Canis lupus familiaris: one gene and its partners. The protein of the gene in region 1 purifies or fractionates together with the protein of each later gene. This does not show direct contact. Links are inferred from orthologs where the notes say so. Each region holds a gene or a part of one and is shown in the gene's direction. Other genes may lie near its edges. The genes, in order: BTRC, TWIST1, REST, RIPK4, STK3, TRIB2 and ZNF704.

Evidence for each region.
Region 2: the proteins of BTRC (region 1) and TWIST1 purify together in Homo sapiens (affinity purification with western blotting; 4 studies listed by BioGRID). This does not show direct contact. The link is inferred for Canis lupus familiaris from reciprocal best matches to the Homo sapiens genes BTRC and TWIST1.
Region 3: the proteins of BTRC (region 1) and REST purify together in Homo sapiens (affinity purification with western blotting; 8 studies listed by BioGRID and IntAct, with this or other methods). This does not show direct contact. The link is inferred for Canis lupus familiaris from reciprocal best matches to the Homo sapiens genes BTRC and REST.
Region 4: the proteins of BTRC (region 1) and RIPK4 purify together in Homo sapiens (affinity purification with mass spectrometry; 4 studies listed by BioGRID, with this or other methods). This does not show direct contact. The link is inferred for Canis lupus familiaris from reciprocal best matches to the Homo sapiens genes BTRC and RIPK4.
Region 5: the proteins of BTRC (region 1) and STK3 purify together in Homo sapiens (affinity purification with mass spectrometry; 3 studies listed by BioGRID and IntAct, counting the BioPlex papers as one, with this or other methods). This does not show direct contact. The link is inferred for Canis lupus familiaris from reciprocal best matches to the Homo sapiens genes BTRC and STK3.
Region 6: the proteins of BTRC (region 1) and TRIB2 purify together in Homo sapiens (affinity purification with western blotting; 3 studies listed by BioGRID and IntAct, with this or other methods). This does not show direct contact. The link is inferred for Canis lupus familiaris from reciprocal best matches to the Homo sapiens genes BTRC and TRIB2.
Region 7: the proteins of BTRC (region 1) and ZNF704 purify together in Homo sapiens (affinity purification with mass spectrometry; 3 studies listed by BioGRID and IntAct, counting the BioPlex papers as one, with this or other methods). This does not show direct contact. The link is inferred for Canis lupus familiaris from reciprocal best matches to the Homo sapiens genes BTRC and ZNF704.

What each region holds. Positions count from the first base shown.
Region 1 is NC_049249.1:14,332,408-14,335,907, forward strand, and holds part of BTRC (F-box/WD repeat-containing protein 1A), read left to right. Parts: intron 1-678; coding exon 679-865; intron 866-3,500. UniProt on the Homo sapiens protein: Substrate recognition component of a SCF (SKP1-CUL1-F-box protein) E3 ubiquitin-protein ligase complex which mediates the ubiquitination and subsequent proteasomal degradation of target proteins. Recognizes and binds to phosphorylated target proteins.
Region 2 is NC_049235.1:33,429,393-33,433,335, reverse strand, and holds TWIST1 (twist-related protein 1), read left to right. Parts: upstream 1-1,421; 5' UTR 1,422-1,534; coding exon 1,535-2,161; 3' UTR 2,162-2,203; intron 2,204-2,771; 3' UTR 2,772-3,443; downstream 3,444-3,943. UniProt on the Homo sapiens protein: Acts as a transcriptional regulator. Inhibits myogenesis by sequestrating E proteins, inhibiting trans-activation by MEF2, and inhibiting DNA-binding by MYOD1 through physical interaction. This interaction probably involves the basic domains of both proteins.
Region 3 is NC_049234.1:49,818,275-49,821,277, forward strand, and holds part of REST (RE1-silencing transcription factor), read left to right. Parts: coding exon 1-1,777; 3' UTR 1,778-3,003. UniProt on the Homo sapiens protein: Transcriptional repressor which binds neuron-restrictive silencer element (NRSE) and represses neuronal gene transcription in non-neuronal cells.
Region 4 is NC_049252.1:36,057,316-36,060,815, reverse strand, and holds part of RIPK4 (receptor-interacting serine/threonine-protein kinase 4), read left to right. Parts: intron 1-87; coding exon 88-246; intron 247-1,013; coding exon 1,014-1,117; intron 1,118-2,924; coding exon 2,925-3,186; intron 3,187-3,500.
Region 5 is NC_049234.1:753,447-756,145, reverse strand, and holds the end of STK3 (serine/threonine-protein kinase 3), read left to right. Parts: intron 1-828; coding exon 829-987; 3' UTR 988-2,199; downstream 2,200-2,699. UniProt on the Homo sapiens protein: Stress-activated, pro-apoptotic kinase which, following caspase-cleavage, enters the nucleus and induces chromatin condensation followed by internucleosomal DNA fragmentation.
Region 6 is NC_049238.1:9,238,836-9,242,968, forward strand, and holds the start of TRIB2 (tribbles homolog 2), read left to right. Parts: upstream 1-1,333; coding exon 1,334-1,603; intron 1,604-4,133.
Region 7 is NC_049250.1:28,472,544-28,476,043, reverse strand, and holds part of ZNF704 (zinc finger protein 704), read left to right. Parts: intron 1-560; coding exon 561-828; intron 829-3,088; coding exon 3,089-3,193; intron 3,194-3,500.

The sequences.
Region 1 (3,500 bases):
GCTTTTTCATTTTTTGGTTAATTGTCATTTAGGTTTTATAACAGCAACTACTCTCAAACATACTTTTTTTAAGCATCTGAAATTAAACTCGAACTTAAACATACCTCTCTGTCTTTCCTCTTGGGATGTTCCTTTACCAATCTGTATTTCCTTCTTCTCTCCTTCTGCATGCCCAAAATTCTATAACCCAGCACATTCTGACTTAGTGCCTCTCCCCTAGTACGTTTAAAGGATATTTCTTTTACTGAACAGCTTTGGAACTGCAGCAGTAATAGAAACAGAATGAGAAATGGACCTAATATAGAGATTTGGGGGGGTCTGAATCACAGACTTTGAGATGCCATCCATAGAACATCCCCTAGTGCTGAAATCCATATAGATAGATGTGAATTGTTTTCTGGAATCCTTTTTATTTTTAATGTCTTGGGGGGTTTGCTGGTTGTTAGCTTTAACTTCCTTATCTAAAGGAAGATGGAAAATACTGTTCATTTCTGTAACCTTATGGAAAAATTATTGACACTCATTTTACCCAAGTTTCTGTTTGAAAAAGAAACTGGACCACACTAGGGACAGTGATGTGCCTTCAGAGCAGAATAAATGCTATTCTGTTTTCAAGGACTTTTTGTAAAAAATCATTCACCACCTATATTCTTCTTTGCCTCCACCCCCTACCAACAGCCCGGGGTTTGGATCACATTGCTGAGAACATTCTGTCATACCTGGATGCCAAATCGCTATGTGCTGCTGAACTTGTATGTAAGGAATGGTACCGAGTGACCTCTGATGGCATGTTATGGAAGAAGCTCATCGAGAGAATGGTCAGGACAGATTCTCTGTGGAGAGGCCTGGCAGAACGAAGAGGGTGGTGAGCCTTTTAACTTTCTTACTATTACAGATCATCTTCAGGACCTGCCCATTCAGAATCATTGGAATAACACTGGGAACCAGTGAGACTGCTTATCATTTAATATGATGTTTACCTGGTTTATAGCACAAAATGTAAAATAAAATAGTTGTACAGGTACTTAGCAGTTTTTCTTCTGACCACTCATAAGTGACATAATAATATGTTAATACTACTTTGTAAAAACTGACTTCTGTTGAGAGCATTTTGTTTTCTGAGCAGAAACTAGTGTCCTGACAAAGGGCTGTTGGCAGTTTGTAAGACAGATGACTTTAAATCACACAGAAGCCATCAGATACCTGAAACAGTTCCGGACAAATACAAATAAGTATTTTCTCATTCAGAAAATTTCTTATCTTTAATTCATGTCTAAGGTGGTTTCTCACCTTTGTAATCAAAATTACTTTTATACTCAACTAGAGAAAGAACTCTAGCCACCATTTCTTCATAAGGCCCACCCATATTTTCTCAAGATTTTACTGCTTAATCCTAAATTCCTTAAGGCATTATATAGTTAGCAACCTAAGAGATTTCACCAATTTTGCTGTTGTTCTTTTAACATAAAGGTACCATTTCATTCAAACTTCTGGAAGATACCTTCTATATGTACTTTGCTCTTAGAGGATGTTACTAGAATGTCACTATAAGAAAGTCAGGTGTGAATATTTCATAAGTAAAATAAAGGTGACATATTAAGTATTTTAGCTGATAGATATGCACCAGCAGCCATATGTGTGCTCAGGGATATCCTAAGCAATTAATTTTATCAATTATTTATCTTGGACCATAAAGAGATACAAAACAGTTAAGAAAAAAGGATTAGCTTTTCTTAGCAATTTTCATTAAAATATAGTTGGCTTCTTTTTTTTTTTTTGCATCTTTGAAATTCATTAATATATAATAAACATAATTACCTAAATATTATACCAAATGCTTCAAGAAATTTCTGTCATTCTGGCTATTAGGAAGACTTAAAAATTTCTCTCAAATTCAGTTAAATGAAGCAAATGTCAGGCAATTCTTTGGCTGTATAAAAATGAATAAATGAAAGCACAGTGTTATTCTTCCCAAATATGTTTTTCTTATTCTCACTTATTTCACTATATAGAAAAATCAAAACCTTTCATAACTTACCTTATACTTTGGAAATAAATTCCTTATAATATAAAGAAAGCAAAAAAGTATATAGTTGTATAGGATTCAGAGTTCATCATTTTGCTAAGTGTGTCAGGACCAGCCTTAGATAGAGAGCAGTTGCTGACATACATGGGAGAATTTTAGGGTAGCTAGGAATATTCCACTATCCCTCATGGGGGAAAAAAAAGGAAAGGGAAAAACCCTTGCTTCCAAATTGGAACATCTGGCCTGAAATCTCTATTACAGAGATTCACTCCCATAGTGATAAAATATACTTTGCTCCCATTTGGACTGTGAATAACAATAAACCTTTATCAGACATTGGGAGTTCCAGGTTCTTTATTTGAAGGCAAGAAGAACAAGGAATAGGTGGCAGATTTGGACAGATGCATGTGAAAATGCCAAAGATAAGAGTAGGCTCCACAGTTTTAGTTGGGGGTGGCAGTAAGAAGCAAGATCTGTTATATTAGTTAGAAAGAAAGAAAACAAACTAGATCATTGAAAAGATGGCCTTTTGGCCTTTTAAGAGGAGTATATAAAGGAATGGCTGAGAAATAACCTAGAATCCCATAGTAATTATCACTCTTTCCTCTATCTATTCAACCACAGGAACCCATTCCTGTTCTTTTGAGTATCCTTCGAAGTTTAGACCATATTCCTGTCTTAAGCTACATTTGCCATCTTAGCTTAATAGAGTCCTGTGAAATTACAAGTGTCCACCCCATGAAGACCTCCTTTAATATCCCCTTGACTTTCTCTGGCTGCTTCTATTTTTAAATCTTGCCTTTCTTCTTGTGTTAGTGTCCTCCCCCTTAAAAAATTTTTTAATGTATGATCACTTTCTCATCTTCTTTCAGATTGCTTTACTAAGCCTACTGTGTCAATAAAATCTGTCCTACCTTTCCCCAAATGCTGGCTTTGAAAGTTTCCTCCAACCAAAAGTAAATAAATAAATATAATTCTCTAATGAAGCTTTGGGTTTAACTTCTATTCCACTGTTGTATTTTGTATCTAGATGAATTTGACAGTTCATGACAAGAACTCTGTCGTTTTTGATTTTCAATAATATTGAATGTGCTCTCTCTGCTCAGTAATGGTAACTCTTAAAAGTATAATAAAAGATCACTTGGGGAATTCCATTTTCTTAATCAGCAGATCACGTTTTATGATAACATTCTGAATTTAATATTGAGCACTTATCAGGTACTCACATTCTCAAAGGTATTAGGCATTTTGCATAGAAGTGGTCCATGTTGTGAAGGAGCTTCCATCCAAAAAAGGTTTTGACCTACAACACAGATCTAGACTGAAAAACTGGTTTTCAACACCTAGCCACCCCTTTTTTGTAGCACATTTAATTTGAAAGAAATTCAGAAACTTAAGAAAAAATTCAGATGCTTTAGCAAGGCATGAAAAATACATTGGGGTAAAAAAAATGAGATCAGACTCTTAGATGGTT
Region 2 (3,943 bases), on another chromosome or scaffold:
TGGACCGCGCTTGGGTCACCCGAAGCATAACTGCCCACTCCAGCTCCTAGGATTGAAGGGCGGAGAAGGTGCCTCGCACAACGGGCAGCTGCGCGGGTTCGGGGTGGAGGGTGGGGGGTGGGCTTGAACCCCACCTCGCTCTCTTACGAGCCTCCCTTTAGGGGTCACGATGTGGGGCTTTATGTGGGGGTACGGTAGGGATGACACGGCCGCGGGGTCCTCCACCTTGGGCCGGCAGCTCAGGCGACGCGGGCCGCAGCGAAGACCCTGCGCTGTCCCTCTCCGGCCCGCTGCTTTCTCCGAGGACAGGGCTGACTTCCGAGAAAAGAACGAACTTCCTCTTTTTAGCCCCGTCGGAGGTGAAGTCTTTGGGGTGGCAAGCGGCTTTAGGCTTGGGTCGCTGTGGCGGGATAAAGGAAGGCCCAGATGCTTCTGAGGGAGGGGTGAGAGCAGGCCGGGGCACCGAGCCGCAGTCCCCGCAGTCGCGGCCACGTCTTCAAAAACCGCCCACGACCTCAGGGCCAGCCGCGGTGGTTTGGGCTTTGCAACTCGGGGTGTGGGGGTGGGGAGGTGGGGAGGTGGGGAGCCCCTCCGTCCACCTGGCTATAGGGAGGAGAGCTCCGCGGCTGCCAGTTTTCTTGCCCCTGCCCCCGCCCCGGCCATCCCAAAGCGGCCCCCGCGGACCTAGAGGGTACAGGGGCGAGATGAAGCATCACCCACTGCGTAGAAGCTGTAGCCGGAGCTGCCGCTGCTGTCACATCCACTCCGGGAGGGACTGACACCGCGGCCGAAAGGTCCCCTCCGGCCGCCTTCCGGGGCTGCGCTCGGGTGCGGGGGCGCGGCCCGCGCGCGCTCGGGCGCGGAAGGAAATCGCCCCGCGCCGGCCCGCGGAGGGCGGCGGGGCGGGAAGGGGGAGGGCGGCGGGGCGGGGAGGGGAGGCGGGGAGGCGGGGAGGCGGGCAGAGGGCCGGCCGCCGCAGCCAGGTCGCCTTTGAATGGTTTGGGAGAACGAATTGTTAGACCCCGCGGAAAGGGGGGTGGGGGTGGGGACGAGGAAGGGGGTGGGAGGGCAGGGGGGCCTGGAAAGCGGAAACTTTCCTATAAAACTTGGAAAAGTCCCTCCTCCCCACGTCAGGCCAATGACACCGCTGCCCCCAAGCTTTCCGCCCGCGCGGAGGTATAAGAGCCTCCGAGGCTGCAGCTCTCGTCCAACTCCCAGACACCTCGCGGGCGCGCCGGCACCGGCGGCGGTTCCGAGGGCAGGGCCGGGCCGGGCCGGGCGTGCGTGCGGCCGCTGGGCGCTTCTTTTTGGACCTCGGGGCCATCCACACCGTCCCCTCCCCCTCCCGCCTCCCTCCCCGCCTCCCCCGCGCGCCCTCCCCGCCCCGCCGAGAGCCTCCCGGGCCTCCTCCCGCCCCTTCCTCGGCGGCCGCACCGCCCGGGCCGGCGCCGCGCGCGGGGGAAGCTGGCGGGCTGAGGCTCCCCGCCGTCCTCCCTTTCCCGGGCCTGCGAGGCCGCGCGCTGCCACCTGAGAGATGATGCAGGACGTGTCCAGCTCGCCAGTCTCGCCGGCCGACGACAGCCTGAGCAACAGCGAGGAGGAGCCGGACCGGCAGCAGCCGCCGAGCGGCAAGCGCGGGGGGCGCAAGCGGCGCAGCAGCCGGCGCAGCGCGGGCGGCGGCGCGGGGCCCGGCGGGGCCGCGGGCGGGGGCGTCGGAGGCGGCGACGAGCCGGGCAGCCCGGCCCAGGGCAAGCGCGGCAAGAAATCTGCGGGCGGCGGCGGCGGCGGCGGCGGGGCGGGCGGCGGCGGCGGCGGCGGCGGCGGCGGCAGCAGCAGCGGCGGCGGGAGCCCGCAGTCGTACGAGGAGCTGCAGACGCAGCGGGTCATGGCCAACGTGCGGGAGCGCCAGCGCACGCAGTCGCTCAACGAGGCGTTCGCCGCGCTGCGGAAGATCATCCCCACGCTGCCCTCGGATAAGCTGAGCAAGATCCAGACGCTCAAGTTGGCGGCCAGGTACATCGACTTCCTCTACCAGGTCCTCCAGAGCGACGAGCTGGACTCCAAGATGGCAAGCTGCAGCTATGTGGCCCACGAGCGGCTCAGCTACGCCTTCTCGGTCTGGAGGATGGAGGGGGCCTGGTCCATGTCCGCGTCCCACTAGCAGGCGGAGCTCCCCACCCCCTCGGCAGGGCCGGAGACCTAGGTAAGGACCGGCGCCTCCGCGGGTCAGGTGGCGGGCGGTCAGACGGACGGCCGGGCCGCGGCTCCCGGCCCACCTGGCCTTCCTCCGCGCCCCCCCCCCCCCGCCCAGGTCGTCCCCCGCCCCCCCCCCATCAGCCTTCCCACCCAGCCTGGCACCGCCACCTCTTCCCCCGAGCGTCCCTGAAAGGCAGGTCGGTCCCCGCTAGGGTGAGGGGGACGCGCCCCGTGCCGGGTGTGCTGCGTGTGCGTGAGTGTGCGTGTCGGACAGGAGGGAGGACTTGAGAGACACTCGAGGGTCGTGGGGAAGGGCAAGTCTGGTTGCCAGCGCCTCCCTTTCTTCTGGCTCTAAGTTTTCGTTCTCCTTAAAACAAATGCTTCCAAATTCCACCTCCTCCTTCTTTCCGGCCACCCACTTCCTCTTGCCCTTGGGCTGAAATCCTTCCAGGTTGTTCAGCGTAATTTCTCAGTAGTGGTGATAAGAACAGTGCTCGCTAGTCTTAGAAAACAGCCACGAAGACCTAAACAATAACCAACTTTCCAACCCCCCCCCCCCTTCTGGGTTTTTGCAGATGTCATTGTTTCCAGAGAAGGAGAAAATGGACAGTCTAGAGACTCTGGAGCTGGATAACTAAAAATAAATATATATGCCAAAGATTTTCTTGGAAATTAGAAGAGCAGAACCCAAATTCAAAGAAACAGGGCGTGGGGCGCACTTTTAAAAGAGAAAGCGAGACAGGCCCGTGGACAGTGATTCCCAGACGGGCAGCGGCACCATCCTCACACCTCTACATTCTGATAGAAGTCTGAACAGTTGTTTGTGTTCCTTTTTTTTTTTTTTTTTTTTGACGAAGAATGTTTTTATTTTTATTTTTTCATGCATGCATTCTCAAGAGGTCGTGCCAATCAGCCACTGAAAGGAAAGGCATCATTATGGACTTTCTCCATTTTAAAATGGTACCAACCAGAGGAATTTTAAGAACGTCTTTAGAAATAAAAATACGGGGATCTAACTGACTTGCAAAATCACAGTCAGTTAAACCCTCTTTACAGTCTTCCTCTGAGAGAGAAAAAAAAAAAACTTAAAATACAAAAAACAACATTCTATTTATTTATTGATGACCCATGGTAAAATGCAAATAGATCCGGTGTCTAAATGCATTCATATTTTTATGATTGTTTTGTAAATATCTTTGTATATTATTTTTCTGCAATAAATAAATATGATTGAAAATTTTAAGAACCTCAGAGTTTGGTCTATATTTTTAAAGCTCAGGATTAAGTTGGAGGTAAATACCTGCTTGTTTAACTCTGGAGGCACCCAGGAGGGAGGGGGCACTAATATAAACAAAGCAGTGAAAAACGCAAATAAACTAGCTACTGACAGGCACAGGCGTGTTATTTAGAAAGACAGCTTTATTATTATTATTCCAGTTTGGTGTTCAGTGGACTTTGTAGCATCTCTCCTTCATCTCTTATCAGGCCCCCCAAACAAGCAAAAACTTAGGAAATTTGTTACTCACTTCTCTTGCTTATATTTTGAGGAGGCAGCTGTAAAACAGTTAAATGCAAATAAGCAATATGAAGCCAGGACTATTTTTCTCTCGTTACTGTATTTTTTTGTTCTACCCTCCACTGTTTGTCAGGACTTTTAAGTAATAGCGTTCATTGCACTGAAAGGATGCCCAAAGTGTTACTAAAATGATCTGTATCTGTACACTTACAAATCAGTAGGAATGCGTAG
Region 3 (3,003 bases), on another chromosome or scaffold:
TCATTTCAAGTCTAAGCATCCTACTTGTCCTAATAAAACAATGGATGTCTCAAAAGTGAAACTAAAGAAAACCAAAAAGCGAGAGGCTGACCTGCCTGATAACAATATTACCAATGAAAAAACAGAGACAGAACAGACAAAAGTAAAGGGGGATGTGGCTGGAAAGAAGAATGAGAGGTCTGTAAAAGTGGAGAAAAAAGATAATGTTTCAAAAGAGAAAAAGTCTTGTAGTAATGCTTCCACCCAAGTGACTACTAGAACTCGCAAATCAGCAATGGAAACTAAAGAAATGGATGTGCATACAGGAAATAATTCAGAAGCTACCGGTAAAACCAAGAAAAGCAAAAGGAGGATGGAAGCTGAAGCCCATTCCTTAAAAGACCCTGTAAATGATGAGGAACCTGTGACAAAAAAGAAAAAGAAGGCAGAAAGCAAATCCAAAAATAGTCAGGAAGTGCCAAAAGGTGATAGCAAAGTAGAGGAGAATAAAAAGCAAAATACCTGCGTGAAAAAAAGTACAAAGAAGAAAAGTCTGAAAAATAAGTCAAGTAAAAAAAGCAGCAAGCCTGCTCAGAAAGAGGTTGCTCAGAAGGAGCCTGCTCAGAAGGGGCTTGCTCTGATGGAGCCTTCTCCTCCCAAGGGGCCTGCTCAATTGGAGCCTTCTCCCAGGGGGCCTGCTCAGTTGGAGACTTCTCCTCCCAGGGGGCCTGCTCAGATGGAGCCGCCCCCGGCCCTAGAGTCTACTCAGATGGATGTTGGTCAAATGGAGCCGCCTCCCCCAGTGGAGTCTGCTCAGATAGGGTCTTCTCAGATGGAGCCACCTCCTCCCATGGGCCCTGTTCAGATGGAGGTTGTTCAGATGGAGCCTCCTCCCACAGAGCCTTCTCTTCACATGGAACCAAGTCCCAAAAAGTCTCCTCGAAAAGATAAAAAGGAAAAGTCCAACATACAGAGTGAAATGGCACGGAAGGAGCAAGTCCTTATTGAAGTGGGCTTAGTGCCTGTTAAAGATAGCCAGCTTCTAAAGGAAAGTGCAAGTGCACAGGATCACTTACCACCACCACCACCACCACCACCACTGCCGCCACCAAAGGAAAACTCAAAAGAAGAGGAGTCAAAAGACCAAAAATTATTCACTGAAAACGAAGGAAGTAAAGAAGCCCCTCTTCAAAAAGTAGAAGTAGAAGAGGCAGAGAAAGGTCTAGCTGGTCTTGCTGCTATTAAGGAATCTGCCAATATTTCATCCTCTGAACAAAACTTGACTATACCAGAGGGTGAAATTTTAGATGCTAAGTGTCAGGCTGACACTGTGCTTTGTGAAATGGAAATGGACACTGATGAGAACAAAACAGAGAATCCCCCTGGCAAAGGCCCAGCAGTTGAAGAACCTGTTTCACCAGTGCTGCATCCCCTACCAATAGAAAACCATGAAGCAGTGTCTAAAACTGCTGTGACATCACCTCCTGTCACCATGGCAGTAAATGAGTCTCAGGAAATGGATGAAGATGAAGGCATCCACAGTCATGATGGAAGTGATCTAAGTGACAACATGTCAGAGGGTAGTGATGACTCTGGATTGAATGGGGCCCGGCCAGTTCCACAAGAAACCAGCAGGAAAAATGCAAAGGAAGCCTTAGCAGTCAAAGTGGGAGAGGGAGATTTTGTTTGTATCTTCTGTGATCGCTCTTTTAGAAAGGAAAAAGATTACAGCAAGCACCTCAATCGTCATTTGGTTAACGTATACTTCCTTGAAAAAGCAGCTAAAGGGCAGGAGTAATTAATCTTAGGATAAGGCTTCAGTTCTTAGTTTATGCGATCTATTACATTTAATATTCATTTATAGCTGTAGACAACCTTTTGTTTTTTTAAATTGCTTTAATTAGTGTCCAATGTTGATTTTTAAGTGGCACTCTTTTCCTTAGGACTCTGTATATCTATTGATGGATAAATTTTAGCAAATCCAAGGAAGTTAGTGTACTAAACCAGCAGATACCTAAATCTGTTAGTTTATACATTTAATTGAAATGAGAAGGCCAAGGTGGTATTGTAGCATTCTGTTGCTTTGTCTGGCTGTAACTTGTCACTTTTCTTGCCATGTCTGTCTTCTTGTTTCGCTTTAGTTTTTTCTTAGTTCTTTGTTTAGTTCTATAAAAATTGGCATACTTAAATAGCAAATTACTTGAATTTGCCTGCTTTATATAAAGTTAGCACTTTAAAATTTTTTTAGAGATGAGAAGAGACATTTAAATTGAAGAAAAATTCTCCCAACAGTGGACATTGTATCAGTCCAGGTATTTACTTACTGAGTTTTGATCAATATTTCTTATTTGTGTATGTTAATCGTCATAAAAACAATGATTTTGGTGTGTTTTTTTTTTCTTTCAAGTTTTTTTTTTTTTTTTTTTTTTTTGGTGCTTTAATGGCTTAAGATGTTGCACATTGTTTTGTTTTTTTTTTAACCTATGCAGTTCAATTTTTTTCTAGAAATAGTATTCGTGTTGAACAGTAACACTTTATACATATATATGCATGTTTATTTTGTCCTCTTTCGAGGGATGCTTTTAGTCTTGTTTGCAAAAGGGCAGTTTTCTTTTTCCTTTGCTGCAATTGTCTTTTTTGCAGAATATTAGTGTGTGCAAATTTGTGAGCAAATGAAACATGCAGGTTCAATCCATTGATTTTGAATTTCACATCTTATATCTATGCCAGAATCTGTATTTCACATAAGTTATTTATTTTAAATGGATGTAGTGAATTCACAGCTCTCATTTTGACCTTTACAATAAACCACTAGACTCTATATTAGACAGATTTTTATCTCAGATACCAACCATGAGTAAAAATTTTTGGCTTGTTTTAGTAGAACTACTTCCTTAAATGTGCAGTGTTAAGTCATATCTTTGAGGAAAACCTTTCTGCATAGATGGTTGGTGTCCATATGGCTACTCAGCTGAATAAAGAACTGTAAGTGATATTTGGAAACTGCAAACCTGGAATTAGGAG
Region 4 (3,500 bases), on another chromosome or scaffold:
CCGCTCCCCCAGAGGGTGAAAACCACGGCCCCCCCACCCACCCCGGCCCCGCGGAGCTGCCCTGACTTACGCGCTTCTCCTTTGCAGATGAGAAGAACATCCTGCACATCATGGTGAAGGTGGTGAAGGGCCACCGCCCGGAGCTGCCGCCCGTGTGCAGAGCCCGGCCGCGGGCCTGCGGGGCCCTCCTGCGCCTCATGCAGAGGTGCTGGCACGGAGATCCCCGGGAGCGGCCCACCTTCCAGGGTGAGTGCCCGGGGGACCTGCTGCTCGACTGTGCCGCTGGGGGCACGGGGGAGGCTTGATGAGCAGGACAGGAGGGGCAGCCGCCCAGATGGGGCAGGCGGTGCAGACACAGGTGCCCGTGGCCCTCCAGCGCCCGGGGCCGGGATGGGCGGCTGGCACTTGGGGGTCGGTGGCAGCGCCCGCCCAGCTCTAGTCCAGGGCCGCCTTGCTCCCCGGAGGAGCGCGTGCTGCAGTCCTGCAAGTTCAGGTATGCCGGTGCCTCGCTGGGGGTCTGAGGAGACCGCTCGCCCGAGGCTGTCTTTGCATCTCCCTTGGGGTCTTGTCCGCCTCGGATGGATGCATCCTCGGGGTAGGAAAGTGATTCTGATGAAATCAGAATTTGTCGTTATATTGAAGACACACGGAGGAGATGATAGGAGCCTCCCCTGCCCTGTGCCAGCCACCCGGGGCCGTCGTGGGCACGGGGCTCCCCCCGGGGAAGGCTTCTCTGGGAAACTGGAATGGTGTGGGCCCTGCCTGGCGTCTGCAAGACACTGCAAATGGTGGCTAACAGGACGCCCCAGAGTGGCCCACGTGGAGGCTACGGGGCATCCTCCGCAAGCGCCGCCGAGCCAGCAGCCTGGGAAGTTGGGTGCTGGCCAGTCCCCTGGGGTGCAGCCGCCCTGGCTGCTGCCTCTTCTGTCCCTGCCTGAGGTCTACACGTGTGAGGAGTGGGTGTGGAGGTCATCGTCCCAGTGACCTGCCCTGTTTTGTTTTCTCCCCGAAAGAAATTACCTGTGAAACCGAGGACCTGTGTGAGAAGCCCGACAGTGACGTGAAGGAGACGGCACAAGATCTGGACACGAAGCAGCCCCCTGAGCCCAAGAGCCCGGTAAGAGCGACCTTCCTGGAGGCCATTTTTTGGGGGGCCCTTCCCCTCCTGTAGACTGGCCTGCCAGCTTGGACCAGGCCCTGGGGTCACCCCCACATGGAGAGAGGCCTGTCCCAGGTCGGTTGGCCTTGTGTCCCAGAGCCAGCCACAGGGTCCTGTGCCCCAGAGCAGGAGGGCAGGTCAGTGGCCAGCTCTCGCAGTGCCAGGTGTCTATCCTGTCCAGCTGCATCCTGTCCCCACCTCCCATCTGTGGTTAGGAGTGGACAGCGTGGGCCCGCTGGCCGGATGCTCTGGGAGCTGGGGGGATGCAAGGCCCATGTGGGCTCTGCTGGTCCAGCTCTCTCTGCTCCCTTGACTCGGGAATCTGGCCGCTTGCTAACCGCTGCCCATAAATGATTTGTTCTGGGAGGGCCACATGGGTTATGTAAGGTGCAATAACTAACTCCAAAGGCTGGGGCTCACCAAGCCCGCGGGGTGACGGGGCTGTGGCAGACGTGCGAGGCGAAGCCCAGTGTGTTACCTGCTATCGGGCGGTTTAGCCCCGGCTGCCGGCCGCGTAAGGCTAGGAGATAAGTCATTGTTTAAGGCGTGCCCGCTGTCTGAACATAAAGGGGTGTGTGTGAGGCTGGGGGGCAAAGGTGCCCGGGGTGAGGAACCTGGTGAGGAAGAGCCAGGCACCCAGTGCACGGGTGTGACTCTGCACCGAGCCACCGAGTCAGAGCGGATCTGCAGTTCCCAAGGAGAAGGGAGGATGGGGGCACGTGGGCTTGGGTCGGGGAGAGTCGGAGGCCACCTGGGGCTTAATCATTCACCAGAAGTCTGCCTTCCTGGAGGCCCGTGAGGGAGGCCCTGGGAGAGGCCGCGTTGGCGCCCATTATATTGGAGTGCCCCTTTGTCGCTGTAGTTGGGCCGCCCCTCATGTGGCCCCCACACAGCCCCCCGGCCCGACTCGCATGGCTAGGAGGAGGGGGCACAGGTGGTTGGCAGGAGGGGGCCCAGCCCCAGTCCCAGTCGCATGTCCTTCCTTCGTTTCTTACCAACAGTGGCCTGCCAGGGTGGGCATGGCCCAGCACTCAGGCTTCACACCCTCCCGGCACCATCACATCCTGCCTGTTGTCTAGGTGATGCTGCTCGTGCCACTCTAGCAATGGGCCAGGGCAGCATGGTGCCAGGCTTCCCATGTTCATCCGGCCAGCATTGGCTCACATGGTTGGCGTTGGCTCATGATAGCCAACGTTGGCTCATGATGACCAGCGTTTGCTCATGATGGTCGGTGCTGGCTCACAATGGCCAGCATTGGCACACTATGGTCGGTGTTGGCTCACTATGGTCGGCGTTGGCTCACAATGGTTAGCGTTGGCTCACGATGGTCAGTGTTGGCTCACGATGGCCAGCATTGGCTTGTGATGGTCAGCGTTGGCTCATGATGGCGGCATTGGCTCACCATGGTCATCCTTGGCTCTCAATGGTCACCGTTGGCTCATGGTGGTCAGCGTTGGCTCGCAATGGCCAGTGTTGACTCGCGATGGTCAGCGTTGGCTCACGATGGCCAGTGTTGGCTTGTGATGCCCAGCGTTGGCTCACAATGGTCGGCATTGGCCCACGATGGTCAGCGTTGGCTCACGATGGTCTGCATTAGCTCATGATGCATCTGTGTCTCCCGGCTTTGGGCTGCCCTGGTGCTGTATCTGTGGCGTTGGACAGAGTGCCCCGTGTGGCTGTCCTGGCACCACACACCCTTTGCCCTCCGCCTGTACCCCCTGTGCCCTGGGTGGGTCTCATCTACCCCACTCTGCTCGGTTTGCAGAAGCCTGTGTGCACACCCCTCAAGCGAGCCTCCGCGCCGACCTTCGACAGTGACTACAGCCTCTCGGAGCTCCTGTCCCAGCTGGACTCGGGTACCTCTCAGACCCTGGACGGCCCGGAGGAGCTGAGCCGCAGCTGCTCAGAATCCAGGCTGCCGTCTGCCAGCAGCGGCAAAAGGCTCTCGGGGGTGTCCTCGGTCGACTCTGCCTTCTCCTCCAGGGGGTCGCTGTCTTTGTCCTTTGAGCGGGAGCCTTCGACGGGAGGTAAGCGAGGCCCCCAAACCCTGGGAAGTGAGGCCCTTAATCATGGGGCTGGGGGGCAGGCAGTGTGTGTAGGAGTCCATGTGTACCCGAAGGGACCGGGCACCCAGCTCCTGGCCCCAATTCTTCATTCCTGTATCGTGTACCCAATTGTTTTGGGGCGTCAGAGCATAGCTAGCTCACTGAGCGCAGGTCCGGAGAGGTGTACTCGCTGAGTGGCCGGCCAAGGGGCTCCGTGCGGTGTCACTTCAGAGTAAGGGGGCCGGGCCGGGCCACCTGGCTGTGCAGGAATAGTCCTACCTGTGCCAACCCTGGGT
Region 5 (2,699 bases), on another chromosome or scaffold:
CATCCTGCATATATATGAGGCTTCTTTCCTGCTGTTACACAGAAAACCAGTAAAGGATGTGCTGGTCTTGCCTCCAGAAGGCAGTATAATTTAACTAAATCATTATGGTCAAACTATACCATTTAGTCAAATCTTACCATTGTTGTCAAACTAGAATATACATAGTGAAAAATTGATAGGCACTATATCTTCAAATTAGCCAAGCTTATGTCAGAATTTACACATCTTTGTTTACATCAGGCTCAGGATTTTGATTCATAAATTAAAAACCTTATTATATCAAAATGTTTGGGACAAAAGTATTCTAGATAATTTAATTTTCTGATTAACCAGGTAGTTAAAATTTAAACACTTGGTGAAATGCAAGATAGAATGCTTAATTTAACCTGTATTCAATCTTGTCACATTCTTGGGTGATCTCTGCAAATACTCACAATTATGGCGGTGCTCCAGAGCTGGAAAGGATAGGAGAGATTGGAGTAGATATATTCGGAACATATCCTGAATGTCTGTGTGTTGGCACTGGTGGATTTGTCTTTCTGCCTTTTTTTTTTAAAAAAAACAAATACTTTTCATCAGCTTATTTTTCTCTCTGCTCTTTCCTAAAAGCAGAGTTTTTTATTGCTTTTGTTGCAAGATTACTTAAGGTTCTTACAAGGTGTGGTATCTTGGTTCTTCAGAGAAGGTATTCCCATTTTAATTGTTGAACTACATTTCAAAGATGATGTAAAGACTGCTGAAATATTCATGCTAAAGCCCATTAGATTTTATCCTATTGTAGATAATTTTGTGTTAATATCTTCTTTTTTTTTTTTTTTCTGTTTCTAGTTAAAAAATCTCAGTTTAGAAGAACTGCAGATGCGGTTAAAAGCGCTGGACCCCATGATGGAACGAGAAATAGAAGAGCTTCGTCAAAGATACACTGCAAAAAGACAACCCATTCTGGATGCGATGGATGCGAAGAAAAGAAGGCAGCAAAACTTTTGAGTCTCATTTTTTTTCTGTTTGTTTAACTATTCTGGAGACCAAGAAACCACTAAGAATTGAAGGAATATTCTTACTGTCTTTTTTCTAAATCCCTAAGATTTGTGCTCTACAACTAGGCAGCAGTCCAGAACCGTTGATGGTACATACCTAGTAAATTCCCAAAAGGCAGAAATTACAACTGTAGCCTCTAGGTTTTCATTCTTTAAATAGTGAAAACAACAGAAATGTCTTCCTCTCTAGATCTGTCAGGTGCTCATCAGCGCTAAAACTGTTCTACAACCAACACTGTGTTTAGAGACCTTGAAAATCTGAAGCTATTGTTTAATTGTACAGCACTGAAGAGCTTTGTGTTACAATCTTCTTTATTCTTATTTCTAGTAGCTTATTTATTGTATCCCCAGGTAAGCTTATTTATTTATGCTGTTTCACTTTGTTTTGTTTTTAAGGACAAGATTAGGATAGCTTTGGTGAAGGGAGGGACGTATTAATAGATGATAATATACAACCAAATTATACTTTCAGCAGGTAGTGATGGGATACATTCCTTGATTTCCAGGATAGTTTTCCAATAGAAGCAAAGCAATAATAGCAATAGTACCCAGATGGGCCCAGACACTTTTTTATACTGAAGCAATAATTCCATTTTTACCTTCTGAAATTTTGTTTAATGTTTTTATTCTCGATGTTTGGTACAAATAGAACTATATATATTTAGGACACACAGGGCTATAATGTTTAAAACCAAAGAAGTCAGTGGAACCCTTGCACAAAGAAGTATGGTAAATATTTTAGAAGAAATAAATCCTTAAGACAAATGTAATTTGTTAATATTGTTTCATGTTTCATTTATTGATCTGTTAGCTGAACTATCAAACTGTCATCAAATCTATTTCTGTAAAATTTGTGCTCAATCGTCACAGGACGTTTTTGTTGATTTCATTCATTTCCTGGGAATTGATAAACATCATGTGCCTGACAATAACAAAATAACAAAAACATTTGTACTGAACTGTGCAAGCCTTGGGGACTATAAAAAAAAAAAAATGTTAAAAAGAAACTCATTTTTAAGCTGAATGAACATTTGTATGATTGAACTGGGACCAGTCAGTTCCTAAGCTACATATGGCCATCTTGACAGTGTTTGTTCTTTTGTGTGTTTAATTACTATGTGTAAATCATAAAGAAAAATAAATTTTACTGTGCCACCCAGCACATATCATCTCTATGTCTTTTAAGAACTCACCACCTGGATTCTCTCTTTTCCTGGCACGGAAGGTCTGTTCGTGAGGACAGCCTGGCTGATGTAGCCATAACAACTGGGAGCCTCAGGGGCTCAGTGTGGATTCCTCACTGGTGCTCCATGCCCATCCCACATTGGCAAGACACCCTGCTTCTGTCACTCACCCCCAGGACCTCCACCATCTGCAACACTGGTGGTCACGACAGCAAGGGGAGGAGTGCTGACATTGTGACACATGTCAGGGTGGCCACAACCAGTATTCAGAACTAGTCACGTGGCCACTAACTCCCTAATTTCAAGGGAGTGAGGAAAGACAACCTCACCTGTGTGCCCGGAGGGGAGAGAAGGGAGATGCCAGTGGGTTCGTTAATGACTGCCACAGGGGGTAGAGCATCTCTGGAAGCTTTAGTTCTATCTTAAAATGGCAGTTGCACCCCAGGCCATGCCTTGGAGTAATATATATCCCTGCCCT
Region 6 (4,133 bases), on another chromosome or scaffold:
AAAATAATAATAATAAAAGACGAAGAAGAAAAGCCATCAATTTCCTCCAAAACAAACCCCACCGGGCAATTTGGGTTTAGGGTCCGGGGGAGGCGGAGTGGTTGCAAATTGCTCCAAGGCAAGATCCAGTTATCCAGCGGGAAAGGAGCGCGCGGCAGGTTGGCCGGGGGCGCATCCCCTTCCAGCGCCCGCAGGACCCCCCCCCTCGCCCCTCTCCAGCTCGCCCTCCCCCCGGAAGCTCGTGCCGGGGGAACCGGAGACCATTGATCTACCCTCGTCCCTGCCTGCACTTCTCGCTTTATTCGGAGGACGGGCTGCAGCGCGAGCGAGGGAGCGAGCGAGCGGCGACAGCATGAGCCTGTGCTGACCTCCGCCCGGCGGGCCGACCCGGGCTTTGTCGCGGTCCCTGCGCGCGCCCCGCGCCCCGCGCCGCCACTCTCTGCCCCACAGCTTCTGCGACCTTTTGTTGGCAGCGCTGACCGCTCCAAGTTAAATGCTCCTTTGCCATTCTTTTTTTTTTTCTTTCTTTCTTTCTTTTCTTTCCTTTTTCTTTTTTTGTCTGTTTGTTTAAATTTTGGAGAGCTCTTGCGATCTTGGAAAAGCCTCACACGCCATCTACAGTTAAAACGTAGGTAGCTCCTCGCTCCGCCGGCCTCCCCCCTCCCTTCCACGCCCCCCACCCTTTCCACCAAAAAAAAAAAAAAAAAAAGGGGGGGGGGTTTGCAGCGCGGATTGTGTCTGCCGTGCAGCGCGAGCCGGTAGACCCGTGCTTATTTCCTTTTTTTTTTTTTTCTTTTTCCCTTTTTGTTTGGTTTCTAACGCGTCGAGACCCAGCGGCTGCCGTGCGCGCTCCTCCAAGATTGCACAAACTAGACAGCAGGGCTCCTCCGCCCCGTCCGCGCTTCGGAAGCCTGCGTGGGGATCGCCTCGGGAGACCTGGCGCTGCGGCTCCCCGCCGTAGCAATCGGGTGGCTCGTCTAGACCCACGTTGGAAGGAGACAGAGAGAAAGAAACTAAAAGTGCGGAGACTCTGCAAAATCGCCGGCTGCTTTGGGGTAACAAAAGGACTCGGAGTTGCTGCGGACTGAGCGCCCCCGGGAGCCGGGGCTCGGAGCCGACCAGGTGCCCGGCGGCGCCCATCTGGGGGCTTCTCCCTCTCTCTCCACGTAGCCCCCTTCCCGTCCCCTCCCCTCGCGAATCCTTTTAAAATCCGTGGCACGGAGGCGCCTGCAGCCGCGCTCGCCAGCGACTCATCATCTCTCCAGCGGGGGTGCTTTTTTTTTTTTTTTTTGTCTGTCTGTCTGTCTGTCTGCCGAGTGCGATCTCCACACTCATGAACATACACAGGTCTACCCCCATCACAATAGCAAGATATGGGAGATCGCGGAACAAAACCCAGGATTTCGAAGAGTTGTCGTCTATAAGGTCCGCCGAGCCCAGCCAGAGTTTCAGCCCGAACCTCGGCTCCCCGAGCCCGCCCGAGACTCCGAACTTGTCGCATTGCGTTTCTTGCATCGGGAAATACTTATTGTTGGAACCTCTGGAGGGAGACCACGTTTTTCGTGCCGTGCATCTGCACAGTGGGGAGGAGCTGGTGTGCAAGGTAAAGAGCCCGGGGTTTGCTGGTTTGGGTTTTTTTTGTTGTTTTTGTTTTTTGGGGGGTGCTTTTTTGTTTTGCTTATTGTCTTTTCAAAAGATTCCCCGGGCCCGTTTGGAGGGCGGGAGGTCGCCAAGCTCCGGAGCCCCCGGAGGAGGGAGGCGCGCGGGATAATTCTCCGTGGCCTCGTTAAAAAGGGGCTTTATTTATTTGTTCACGTTCGACTAGTTGCGAAGTTTTTAGAGCGTTGCAGACAATGGGGCGGGCCGCGGCGGGGGCGTCCCGGGGAGAGCCCCGGGGTCGCGGGCGCCGCGAACACGCGCGCTCCCCAAGGCCCGTGGGGCGCCCCTGCGCGGGGTCGGGGCCCGCGGCCGCCCCAGGGCTGTCTCCCCGACTGCCGCCCTCCCCCCCCTTCCCCTCCCGCCGTGGAGTAGGGAATCCCCCGCTCATTTTAGGGCACTGATGACCGGGTTCCTTTCGCAGCCATTGTTCTTAGAAGCGTGCAGGTGTTAAACCTTTGTTCCGAAGGTGCCCTTTAAAGGAGACACACAAAGGTGTCCCCTCTGGCTGAGCCAGGGGCCCAGCGCGCGGGGAAGGAGTTTACAAAGAGCTCCCTGCTGCCTGCAGCCTGGAGAGGAGGGCTGGGGGTTGAAATCAAAGCCGCAGGCGCACCTTTGGGTGTAGGAAATAGTGAGTCCTTGGCTCCTTCTCTGTGGTCTCCTTTCTGCTCATCCTCCGGACTTCCGTGCCTGAACACCCCCCCACCCCGACACCCCCCTCCGACACCCCCCCCCCACCAACACACCTTTGCCTGTAGGGTTTACAGGCCGGCTTCTGGAGCCCCTGGGATTCTCACTGCTAATACAGAGATGGGCACTTCAGTTTCCTTTTTGTCTTTGACCCCCAACAGTGACTGGGGTGTCTGTGTGTCTTTGTGTGCGCTCCAGAGGAGGGGATGAGAAGGGGAACAGTTGCAAAAAAAAAAAAAAAATAGAATAGAGCATACTGCTACCCCGGGCATTGGGACACAGATCAGGAATTCATTGTCACTTAATTTTATATTCGGTCACTCTTGGTTTTTCTTGGGAGGGGGGCGGCGGGTAAGGGGGTGGTGAGGAGTGAGGACCTCTGCTCTCTTTGAGATGGGCACTCTGCAGAGCTGTGCTACGAATAAAACATCGCGCTTCTCTACCATTAACCACAGATTGCCTTATTTCGTAGCGGACTGGAGCCTTTTCATTGTAAATATGGGTTTTGTGGAGGTCTTCAGTCAGTTTTGCAATTGCTCAGTTCAGATCTCAGGGGGAAAATCAGAGACTCTTTAAATAGAGCTCTCTGCTTCTAGGGAGCATTTGGTATTTTGCATCTCCTCCCAAGTTATTGAGACCCAGAGCAACTGTGCCCGGTTAACCAAAATTCAGTAGGCTATTCAGGGCTGGATTGAATTCTCAGAAGACCTGCAAGGTTGCACAATAGGGGAGTCATCCTTTGAAATGAATGAATTCCACAGAGCTGCCACTCTCCTGTGAAATATGCACAATCGCCCAGCAGTGAGAGTGTTCACTCCCTTTGCTCAACTTCGGTACAACATTTTAATATTTTTCAAAGGCTGGAGACGCTTGTAAGTAAAGGGACTCTGCCTTCAAAGTCTGCAGGAGCATCTTGCTGTTATTTCTTTGTTTAAAGGCAGAGGGGACTTGCCCCTGTTCTTTCTTTCTCCCTCCAGACTCCTCAAGACGTTATTTCCCTTTGGGCTGACCTTTCGGTGTCATTCATAGACTTGCTCTTTGGCTTGAAACTGTACTTAATCGGCTGGTTTAGTTCTTGCAAAGATTGAATCGGCCCCTCAGCAATTACTGTGTGGCTGCAAGTGGATTTAAGTGCAGTATCATTGTTCTGCTTGACACAGGTCATCCCTTTAATACACGGCAGCCCGGTTTCCTGCAAAGGCTGCAAGACTTTTTATGCAAGCAGAGTTGTATGTGTCCTAGGAAGCCCCAAGTGGTTTTTATAAGGCTGCTTCCACGAGCTACCCCCAGATACACGGTGTGAACTCAGTTTACCGCAGGGCACTGTGAAATCTGCACATTGAATCAAGTTCCGTTTCGTGTCTCAGAGTAAAGAGTTCATGTCTTCCAGCTCCTTGTTGACCCAAGGAAAAAGTCTTTGCAAGACCAGACCAAATGTAAAGATGCCATGACTAGAGAGGACTGCAGAGAGAATTCTACAGGACCCTCTTTGGGATCATTTGACCAAAATAATCAAGCCTGTTTATTGTCTCCCTGAGCCTACTTTAAGCTAGCCAAATGAAGGAAGGCAGCTTTAGGGGGTCTTTACCTTATCATTTTCATGGAAATGCTGGTAGCTACTGTGCAGATTGACATAATTACTATCTTGGAATAATGGGCACTTTTTTTTTTTTTTTTTTGCAAATGCTACTAATGATGGCCTGATCTCACTGCCTTATCTCAACTGTCACATTATATAAGTAAGGCTCCAAATTAAACATTTAAAAGAAGCTGGCAGCCAGGCTTAT
Region 7 (3,500 bases), on another chromosome or scaffold:
GGCTCAGCGGTTTAGCTCCGCCTTCAGTCCAGGACATGATCCTGGAGAACCGAGATCAAGTCTCACGTTGGGCTCCCGGCATGGAGCCTGCTTCTCTCTCTGCCTATGTCTCTCTCTCTCTCTCTCTCTCTCTCTCTCTCTCTGTGTGTGTGTGTGTGTGTGTGTGTGTGTGCTCTCATGAATAAATAAATAAAATATTTAAAAAAAGTTTAAAAATAAATAATGTAAAAATGTAAAGTATAAATAAATATATAAATTCATTATAATCTCTGCTTTGTTCATCATGCTATCAGGAGACCCTAGAAAAGTGCCTGGGTGTAATAGGCTCTCAGTAACTTATTGCTGAATAACTGATTGGTTAAATAAATTGTTTTAAGAGGTCAAGGAAGGCTTCCCTGCAAGTGGACAGTGGAGTTGAGTGTTGCAGGATAAGTCAGAGTTTGCCAGACAGACCAGACAGGGGAAAAGCATTCCAGACAGAGGGAAGAGAAAGTGCAAGATTTCGGGGCAAGAAGGCAGACTGGGTTCGTGTCATCATGTTTTGCTCTCTTTTGCCCCAGGCGTGTTGGGGATTCCGACTACAGTGATGGAGAAGAGGACTTTTACTACACTGAGATCAAGCTCAACACAGACTCAGTGGCAGATGGACTGAGCAGCCTGGCCCCGGTGTCACCTTCTCAGTCCCTGGCTTCACCTCCCACTTTCCCCATCCCAGATTCAAGCCGAACAGAAACTCCTTGTGCCAAAACTGAGACTAAATTGATGACACCCTTGAGCCGCTCAGCTCCCACCACCCTCTACCTCGTGCACACCGACCATGCTTACCAGGTGACTTGCAAAGGACCTTGGGGGTAACCACTCTGACCCCCCACCAAAAGCAATAGCATTCTGCTTTTGCACTGGAAAGGGTGCAAAAACAGCATCACACAAGTAGGCTAATAGCTGAGTTCTTTTTTTCTTTTTCTCCTTTTAAAGTTCAGACCTCACACAGATGGGGCTCTGGGGGTCCTTGGACTCCCCAATATTGACTAAAGATCCAACCCCTTAGAGGTTGTCATAGGACTCAAAATCCTTAATATTGTAAAGATCTCACAATTGTGCCTGGCCCACGATCTAAGTATCTGTTAAATAAAAAAATATAAGTGAAAAAGTGAGCACCGAAAGCTTTGGCACAATGACATAACCGCACTGTGTCCCAACTCTGGGACTTCATGCCCTGTCTTCTGAATTGGTAACTAACCCTCACAGATCAGAGCAGTGATGATCAGTGTTCCCCAAATAGCAGTGTCAACATCACCTAGGAACTTGTCAGAAATGTAAACTCTTGGGGCAGCCCCAGACCTTTTGGGCAGGAGGGAGGGCTGGGGGTCCAGCAGTCTGCATTGTGACAGACCCTCCAGGTGATCTGCTTCACTCTAAAGTCCCAAAAGACCTTACAGACAAATCCTGCAAATAGGACACAGCTAAAGCTCTTCTGTCCCCCCAGCATTTATTAACTCTTTTAAATGTTGATTTGTTTTAATGACATATCAAAACATTCAATTTTAAGAAAGCTTTTTTCCCCAGAATTCTCAACTACTCTGTACAACCTAAAAAGAAAAAAAAAAAAAAACTCCTGTCCATATTTGTAATTGTGTTCTCCCACCCTGGTTTTATAAACATTTTCCATATAACTGACTAGTTTTCAGTTAAATCGAAACACCAAGTTGTTTTAGTCATTCTCTTACCGTTAGCTCTCTCCTCTTTAATCTCTCCAGTTTTTCCACTATCATTAATAACTCTACTACGAACACCTCCATGCCAGTAGCTTTTGTTTTTTTCCCTTTGAATTCCCAGAAGAATAATTATTGAGTCACAGGATATAACATGAACAGCTTATGGCTCTTGCTATGTATTGCCAAAATATTTTCCAGTGGTGCCAGTTATAAAACCACTGTCACGAGCAACTACATCTATAATTAGAAAAACTAAACCTGTAGAAGTACCCAGCCACTGATTTAATAGGCTTACAGTCAAGAGCAATGGAATAGAGCTAATTATTAAATTAGTTGATGCAATAAATTTCATTCCTGACTCTTGTTATGTTGGTCAAAAAGAATACTTAATTTCTTTGTTTTTGTTTGTCAGTGTTGTATTCAGAACACTGGTTTGAAATCATGGGCCTGAACCAATTTCAACTATTTTGCTCATCTATATGAGAGTTGGAACATGCACGAGGTGATCTAAAAGGTCCTTCCCAAACCATGTATTCATAATATTGGGATTATTCTATTTATAGACATTATGAATGTTCAGCATCAAAAGTATTAAAAACACAAGCAAATGAAGAAAATTCATCCCTGAACCGCAACAACAAGAAAGCTCCTTGGTTAATATTTTTTGTATGTCCTTCAAGACTTTGTTCGATGTATATATAGTCATTTTTAAAAAAGTAATTTACCATAGTACTGTTTTTCTTGTGCTTTATTTTTGCCATTTAATATATCATGAACATTTTCCCATGCCAACAAGTATTCTTCAACAGCATCAGTCTGTGGGTATATCATGACTTACGTACCTACATCCCTATTATTGGACACTTGCATTTCCAGGGGTTTTTTTTACATAATACATAGTTCTGCAATGAACATCTTTATATCCATTTCGTTAGAATGAATTCTAAAAGTGGCATAGCTAATATACAAAATACTAAGAATTTTGATATATATTGCCAAATTACCCTCCCCAAATGTTGTACCAATTTACACACCCAGCATCCCTGTAAAGTTGTTTATTTCCCAATTTGATGGTGAGGCATAGTGTTTTACACACAAATAGGCCTATGTCCTAAAATAGGTACATGTACATATAATAAAATTTCTTTTCAGAAATCAGCAAAAAACCTGCTCTTATTCATTAGATTACTAAGATTTATAAAAAGCTTATTTCTAGCTATTCTCTTCAGCTATGTTTAATCTCCTGTTGGAGAATTAGTCTAAGTTATTAATACAGCTGAAACCATTTTGGGGCCCTACTTTGGCAATGATAGCTTAGGACTGTGAGGAGAAATGTTGTTTCATAACAATGTTCTCTGTTTTCTGTGGGACAGGCCACACCCCCCGTGACCATTCCAGGATCGGCCAAGTTCACCCCCAACGGCAGCAGCTTCAGCATTTCTTGGCAGTCTCCTCCAGTTACCTTCACAGGCATTCCAGTAAGTAGAAAAACAAAAAGCCAGAAATCTGGTCAAAGCCAAACATAAATTTAGAGAACAAATTATAAAAACATGCAAGAGAAAGGCAAAACTCAGAATACCAGAAGTACTATTCCTTAAGTGATACTTGTACACTCCCCAGCATGTATTTCATGGTCCAGCCCAGCCCAGCTTGTCTGTGGTAAAAGGTGTTACGACTGGCATTTTAGAAAACCAGGAGAGGTGCAGCTGCTGATAAACAACTTGTTAGAAATGTGTCAAGAGTGTTTGTGTCCGTGGTGTATCTGTATGCTTCCAAAAGGCTTTA